Linked DNA regions of Bombyx mori. The main gene of each other region encodes a partner of the protein of the gene in region 2 in a complex. Links are inferred from orthologs where the notes say so. Each region holds a gene or a part of one and is shown on either strand. Other genes may lie near its edges.

The links. Proteins that work in one complex are often made in the same cells at the same time.
Region 1: the proteins of transcription initiation factor TFIID subunit 6 (region 2) and transcription initiation factor TFIID subunit 9 are in contact, whole or in part, in a crystal structure (PDB 1TAF), measured with the Drosophila melanogaster proteins. The link is inferred for Bombyx mori from reciprocal best matches to the Drosophila melanogaster genes Taf6 and Taf9. Residues at the interface, in NP_524161.2 of Drosophila melanogaster: Gly18, Ser19, Ser20, Ile21, Ser22, Glu24, Ser25, Met26, Ile29, Ala30, Ile33, Val35, Ser37, Leu38, Ser39, Asp41, Ala42, Glu45, Leu46, Asp49, Val50, Ser51, Lys53, Leu54, Lys55, Ile57, Val58, Gln59, Ala62, Gln71; in NP_523391.3 of Drosophila melanogaster: Lys20, Asp21, Val24, Ile25, Ser27, Ile28, Leu29, Glu31, Leu32, Val34, Glu36, Tyr37, Glu38, Arg40, Val41, Gln44, Leu45, Phe48, Thr49, Phe50, Tyr52, Val53, Thr54, Ile56, Leu57, Asp58, Lys61, Thr71, Ile72, Asp73.

Annotation. Positions count from the first base shown.
Region 1 is NC_085109.1:1,357,237-1,361,054, reverse strand, and holds transcription initiation factor TFIID subunit 9, read left to right. Parts: upstream 1-1,359; 5' UTR 1,360-1,555; coding exon 1,556-1,923; intron 1,924-2,496; coding exon 2,497-2,719; intron 2,720-3,092; coding exon 3,093-3,212; 3' UTR 3,213-3,282; downstream 3,283-3,818. UniProt on the Drosophila melanogaster protein: TFIID is a multimeric protein complex that plays a central role in mediating promoter responses to various activators and repressors.
Region 2 is NC_085121.1:11,007,057-11,010,712, reverse strand, and holds part of transcription initiation factor TFIID subunit 6, read left to right. Parts: intron 1-539; coding exon 540-709; intron 710-784; coding exon 785-935; intron 936-2,103; coding exon 2,104-2,276; intron 2,277-3,656. UniProt on the Drosophila melanogaster protein: TFIID is a multimeric protein complex that plays a central role in mediating promoter responses to various activators and repressors.

The DNA.
Region 1 (3,818 bases), on a different chromosome or scaffold from region 2:
TGATATCTGAAAATACTTATTTTTACTGTACACGTAAGTTATTTCATATTTTAACTGAATAAATCGAAATGGTTATTATAGTTGTATGTTTTATTTATTTAATACCCTTCAAAATCCATGTCAACCTTCAGTGACTTTAGAAACAATTCTTGTTGATTCACCATCGTTAAAATAGTCCTACTTCCAAGATACTGTCTCATGAATGAATGAATAAACTGAACATGGCGCTAATCAGAACTGGCTATCTTAGTAAAAAAACCTGCCAGACTGTTATTAAGTGGATATCTAACTTTTTTGTGTAACTTGTCGAAAGGCAAGCAATTGCTTAAATTCCAACAGAACAAAGAAACATCAAACGGGAACGCTTGACTGTTTTGCGGCAGAAAAAAACCAGATTATGGATATCTATTCTAATTTATTTTTCAATTCACAGTTTATAGACGGTTGATAAATGAATATTAATATTCTCTAAATCTAAGAAAATCCTAAAATTAAATGAACCAAATAATACAAACCAGTTTTTCATTTTGTTACAATATTGCCGAAAAATAATATACATACATATATCTTTTTATTTTGAGTACTTTAATTAAGATAAATAAATAAGAAAAATGATTTCTGTTTTGAATGTAAATGCATAAAAGGAAATTTAATATCTAGGTAATATTTTTTTCGTAAGACAGTGCGGGATAAGCGTTTACATTTGTTTAAAGATAAAGGTATTGAAAGTAGAGATATTGAAACCAGCTACTTAGTTAGTTTTGTTAACTAACTGTACAGCTGTTTGATGAACGAAATAAATAAGAAAAAAGGAATTCATTATATATTTTTTGAAGTAAAACTTCTTTAGGCGCGTTGAGAGTGAAATTTAACTCGCGACAGATTCGTTACGGCTAGAGAGAAAAGATACAATTTAGGAAGAGCGAGAGTAAGAAAATAGGTAGGGCGTCTTGTGAACCACTCAACCGTGGAGAGAGGGAAAGGGCAAAGCGAGTTAGGTCGTTTTTTAATTTAGTGACATCTATTGGATTTCGTTTAACTACTACATTGCAAGACCATCGGTGTGAACAGTTTAGTTTCTAAATTATTTACAGAAGGCGGTATTTTAAATAAAAGTAATTATCACTAAACATATTATTATTGTAAAACCAAAGGACTCGTTCGGTAATCATCGAATACTGGTAACAACTTCTTTCTAAGTTAATCTTATTTCTCGAGATAAATTGAAGTTTCACTTCTTTCACGTGCACCAAGTTTTATACGCGCACCAGTTTTTTGTTTGTTTCCAAGTTCTGACAACAACCATAGAGAGATATACTTTTAAATGTGTTCTGAAATGAAGATGTCAATGGCTCAGAATGGCTGACACTGACAGTTTGAATTGACTTGACAATCGTCATCAAACAACATAGATCTGTCACAATCACAGCACAAGTGTTGTTTTTATAGCATTGTTACCAAAATAAAGTATGCCAATACTATGACTAAGAAAAAGATTTTTAAACAAATCAGAAATAATTCGGTCTAAAATTAAAATAACAAATAAAACTACAAGATGTCAGAGAAAGACAAATCCAAATCGGGTGGTCAAGCTAAGCACATTCCCAAAGATGCCCAAGTCATCATGTCCATCATGAAGGAAGTAGGTATCACTGACTATGAACCGAGAGTCGTGAACCAGCTCCTAGAATTCACATACCGCTACGTTACATCAGTATTAGATGATGCAAGGATATTTGCAAACCACGCAAAAAAGAAAACTATAGATCTTGATGATGTGAGACTGTCAGCTCAAATGCAATTGGACAAGTCCTTCACGAATCCCCCGCCCCGTGAAGTGCTACTGGAGATCGCGAGGGTCAAGAATGTTAATCCTTTGCCGTTGATAAAGCCGCATTGCGGGTTAAGACTGCCTCCGGATCGGTAAGTATTGGAAAATGTAGCACACTTTAATCCTATATCTCACAGCACATTATATTAATCTTTCGTGAGTATGGACTTAGATAATTTCTTCAAAAATCAGGATTAGCTTAAATAGCTCAAGGTTCAATCACCGGACTTGAGGGAAAAATACTCCACTTTAGACCACACGTATGTAATTTGCGCACCATGAATTGATTGCAACAATATTGTGTTCACAATCAAAGTTCAGTAAAGTCTTCTTGTAAACAATATCTTTAGGTGACAGATTGTCTTATTACAATTTGTAAGTAGTTACTGATACTTCAATACTGCCTGTTACTAAGAAGTCTTCAAACCTTACTGAAATAATGTCAGAATACTCCATAAACACCAATGGTTGCATTTGGGAGCCTGGTATAATAGTAAAAATGATGAATAGAAATACACTATGGACCAATTCCGCTAACAAAGGAAATTATGGAATAATTTTGATTAATTTTGTGTGAAACATGAGATTCCCTTAACACCCAGAGCCTTTTAATATGGTTAACTTGTAAATCGCTGCATGTTTACAGAGAATATTCATTTTTCCAGTTACTGCCTGTCATCCTGTAATTACAAACTGAAACCAGCAACCAAGAAAGTGATCACAAAAACTACGATAACCCCTTCCCCGTCCATAAAAACGGTCACCACATCCAAAGCACCTCAACAGACAGTTGTTATGAAGAGACCACCGGGAGCAATTGTGAATGTGGGCACCCCAAAAACCAGTCTCGGAACAAAACCTGTACTGAAATTTTCATCAAGCAGTAAAGTAAGAATTTGGTTTAATTTTAAAATTATAGAATAGATAAATAGACAGCACTATGCTTTATCATATTCATCACAGATTGAACTATTAAAAAGTGGTTTCTTTATTTCCTAACAATAATTTGAAATGTTGAAAACTGATAATCTATATTATGATATAAACAAAACGAAATATCTATTTTGTCTAATTAAATGTCAACTTATATTTGATAATATCAAAATTGCGTCACAATTTTTTTTTATTATATCTGATTATGTATTGAAATCTACATTATAAATTAAAACTAATTTTAATCTTTCATTTTTTATTTGCTTTACATTATTTCTGACATTTCATAGTTAGCACAATATTTAAATGTCAATGAATTATATTGCAGGTAGTAAAACCAGCTGTAAGAGTGACAGCTGGTCCTTCCTCACAGGCTCCTATCAAGATGGAGACAGACGAGCCAATGAGCCACAAACGGAAAAGAGAAGACGACGATTATGATCTATAAATAATTAATAGGATCACGATCTTTCTGCCTGGAATCAACATTTTGATATTAAAAAGTATCATGTGTTTAATCCTGTTTGTTTAGTGATTAATTCCATAAAACCTGATGATGCAAATTGCTCAGATTGTATGGTTTATATGACTAAGGGTATTTTAATTATTACTGTAGGTAGAAACAACAAAAAAATTGAATTTTTCCTGTTTTTTTTAAGTGAATCATATTTCAATGAAATAGCTTGCCAAAAGTTCTAAAGATAATATAATAACAGAAAGATTTAAGTAAGAGAATCTGAGATTAAAAGAGTCACTGTCTGACTGTGCCCTATAATTTAAGTAAGATCTGGAGGTGAACTCATACCGTTTTGATGCACAACTAGATTCTTTTTAATTTGCGACCGTATAGCTTGGCTGCCGTGCAAATTTTGAATTGAATTTGATATTATGTGTTGTAGTTTTCTAGATGAGAACAGGATATCTACAGTGATTTAACATACATTTAAGAAGGCATTAAAATAGAGTAGGTAAGATAAAAATGCATTCACAGAACTTGTCATCTACTACACTCGCGAGCAAAAGTTTGGAATCACTTACTTGAAATTGATTCCGC
Region 2 (3,656 bases):
CCATTTAAAGCTTAAAATTTGGAAAAAATATCATAAAAAAAACTTCTTGAGCTATTTGAATGGAGTAAAGCTAATTAATTGAAGTTCATTAAAACCGAACATAATACAAGATTACAACAATACACCGAATTACAAAGATAAATGTCACGAATACACCGAATTACAAAGATAAAATTAAATGTGTCGCGTATTAAACGAAATGTCGCTTAAACGACGAATAAAACGATACTGCTTAATAAAAATAAGGCGGTGCATGCCCACTAATACGTCTTGACACTCGTTTCGCAGTTGCACATCATAAAATTGGAGGTTTAGATTTTATGATCATAGAGGAGACCAATATTATTCCTGCACTGTAGGATTCATTCGTAAACACGTCTTAGATGCGTATTTTCTAGACAAAATGTTATCTGTCCAATCTAGACCATGGCATAAGAGTCCATAGGCCATTCTCTCTACGGCCACGCTTCAATATTTGATACTCATACATGTCTATAGGTAATTGCAGATTTAATAAGTAAATTGTATTGTTTGGGCAGTTACACGAGTTGATTCCGTCCGTGTCGACATGCATAGTATCACGACAGCTGTGCCTTCGTCCCGAGATGGATAACCACTGGGCCCTGCGAGATTTCGCCGCGCGACTCATGGCTCAGATATGCAAAACATTCAATACTTCAACCAATAATCTACAAACGAGAGTCACCAGGTATTTTAATTTGAATAAATTTTAAAGTCACACAATGTATCTGGTAGTTACTATACGAAAATTCTTTGCGCTCAGGTTGTTCGCGAAAGCCCTCCAGTGCCCTTCACAAACAAACAACGAAACGGGTCCTTCTATGGCGAGCATGAAGGAATCGGAGAAGACTCCTCTCGCGTCGCTGTATGGAGCCGTGCAAGGATTGGCAGAGCTGGGCCCCGAAGTCGTTAAAGTGAGTAATCTGTGTGCTTAGTGCGAGTTTTTTAACGTTTTCGATAGCGTGAAAGTTAGCCCAATTTTGTATGCAGTTGGAACAGCGCCCCTAGTGGCAAACGTATGCAAAAGATCCCATTCTGTACGAATATAAGCTAACTTTTACGCCATCGAGAACGTTAAAAAACTCGCACTAAGCACACTGACGCCGTCACGCAGCGCCCTCTACATAGGCGCGTTAAACATTGTCGTGCGTGAATTAACTTATGCACGCCGGGTTTTTAGTTGAATTTGATGGCTGTGTACCGGCGGCCCAGACACGTAGGCGCAGTGTTGGATTTACACTAGGGGCAGTCGGGGCAAGTGCCCAGGCCGGCATATTTTTTAGGGCGGCAAAATTTTTAGTTTTTTTTTTTTAGTTTTATCAAGATTGCTCAATATAATTAATTAATTCTAATAATTAATAATTTCCTTTTTAATTGATAATTCAAGAAATTCAATTCATCCATTATTTGTCAATTATAATTTTGGCACTTTTGGTAAAAATTAATAATCAAAATGGTTTAATCAATTTATTTCCTTGGAGATTTAAAATAATAATCGATTTTTCTATTTTCTATAATTAAAGAAATATAATTAGTTATTTTTTTTGATGAAATATAATTATGAGTCACCCTTAGTCAAAATTTGTAATTGTTAGAAAAAAATATATATATTTATTTATGTTTTTGAAATATATGACATATGATAAAGTTTCCGCAATAAATTAGTCATCCTAATTTTGAAAAATAAAATATATAAATTATAAATTTAGGTAAAATTACAGTATTGGCACGGTTTTTTTTTATTGTTTAGATGGGTGGACGAGTTCACAGCCCACCTGGTGTTAAGTGGTTACTGGAGCCCATAAACATCTACAACGTACATGCGCCCCCCACCTTGAGATATAAGTTCTAAGATCTCAGTATAGTTACAACGGCTGCCCCACCCTTCAAACCGAAACGCATGACTGCTTCACGGCAGAATAGACAGGGCGGTGGTACCTACCCGCGCGGACTCACAAGAGGTCCTACCAGCAGATTTTTTTCCGGTACCGAGGAGCAGTATTATGTTTCAATCCGACCCTGCGTAGGCGTGATAATCTGGCGATTCATGTTAGATCTGGTAAGATGACGCCTTTTTTACAGGTGTTCATTCTGCCGCGCGTGCGTTGGTTGGGAGAGCGCGTGGAGGGCGCGCTGAGCGGTATCGGTGGCGCGGACCGACTGGCGGCCGGCAACCTCAAGCACCAGCTGCTGAAAGTCCTGGCCCCTGTCGTCCGACAACTGCGGCAACCGCCCGACCAACCCGAAGACTACAAGTCAGTCACGTCTTATACACGAATCGTCCTGTTGATTTCCTATTGAACTTTTTATTACTCATGTCCGGTCAGTGATTGTCGATATTCGCGCATATTTATTGACACCTAAAAATTTAGATTAATTTTATATACCTAGGTACAGTACCAGGCAATAAATATTGCACATCGATATTTAGAAAGAGACTGTCGTCTAATTTTGTTATTATTGTAGAGCGTTATCTGTGTGCGATGAAACACCAACGATCCCGTATCTATGGAGATTAAATGTCAATTAGGTAATGTGCGACACATATAACGCTCTACAAAGCAAAAATTAACCATCTCTTTCCCACGGTCGATGTGCAATATTTATCGCCGGGTACTGTATAACATTTTCTTTATTTCTTATTGACGTTTAGAAAATAAACAATGTCAAAAAAAATGTCTAAAGATCTTCAATAGCTAATGAACAAAAAGAATATCAATGATCAAACACAGAAGAAATTTTTTTTCTTCTATAAATTGGCAATATTTTTATATAGATTACCGTAGCATTATTTTTTCGCTACATGGGCCGTTTTCCAATTACAGCACAAGAGCGCATTATGCGGCATAATGCTCAACTAAGCTTCAGCATAATTCGGCATTGTGCGTCACTGAGTCGCATTATGCTCTGTAATTGGAAAACTACCATTAAGTAATGGTTAATTGCCGAATTATGCTGAAGCATAGTTGAGCATTATGCCGCATAATGCGCTCTTTTGCTGTAATTAGAAAACGGCCATGGTTTCTGCTATCCGTCTGAGCATAGGTACCAGTTGATACAGGTATGTTATCAGACCATCAGCTAACCACTTTCCACTACATTTACCTTTAGTCAGTATGCTGAATGGTGTTTATTTTGTAACTCAATCACATTGTGGACCTCGAAAAATGAACTAGAAATGTATCATACACTGTTCTTGATGAAGAATTACTATCGCAACCTTTCGGTTTTGATTTTACTTGTGATGATTCCATATAATGTCATTATAAGAATTGAATATATATTATCATGGGTGGGCCCGGCAATTGTCTTGTCCTGATAATAATAATAAAGCCTTAACGGGTCCAATTGTAATTGGAAATTGTCCAGGGACCCCCTTTTGCGATGCAAAAATAATCATAAGAATCGGGCCAGCAGAATCCCGGCATACATACCCTCTTATTCCAAAAATAACATAGATTGCGATTGGAATGCTACCCTATGTAATGTTTTTTTTTCATGAAAGCCACATTTAAAATTACGTTAATTTTTAGTCCAAAAATAGCCAAGTGAAATGATTAAATATCTATGAACATTTTTTTATATCAGATTTACATAGATAAATTACATACAAAGACATACATTATATTATAGAT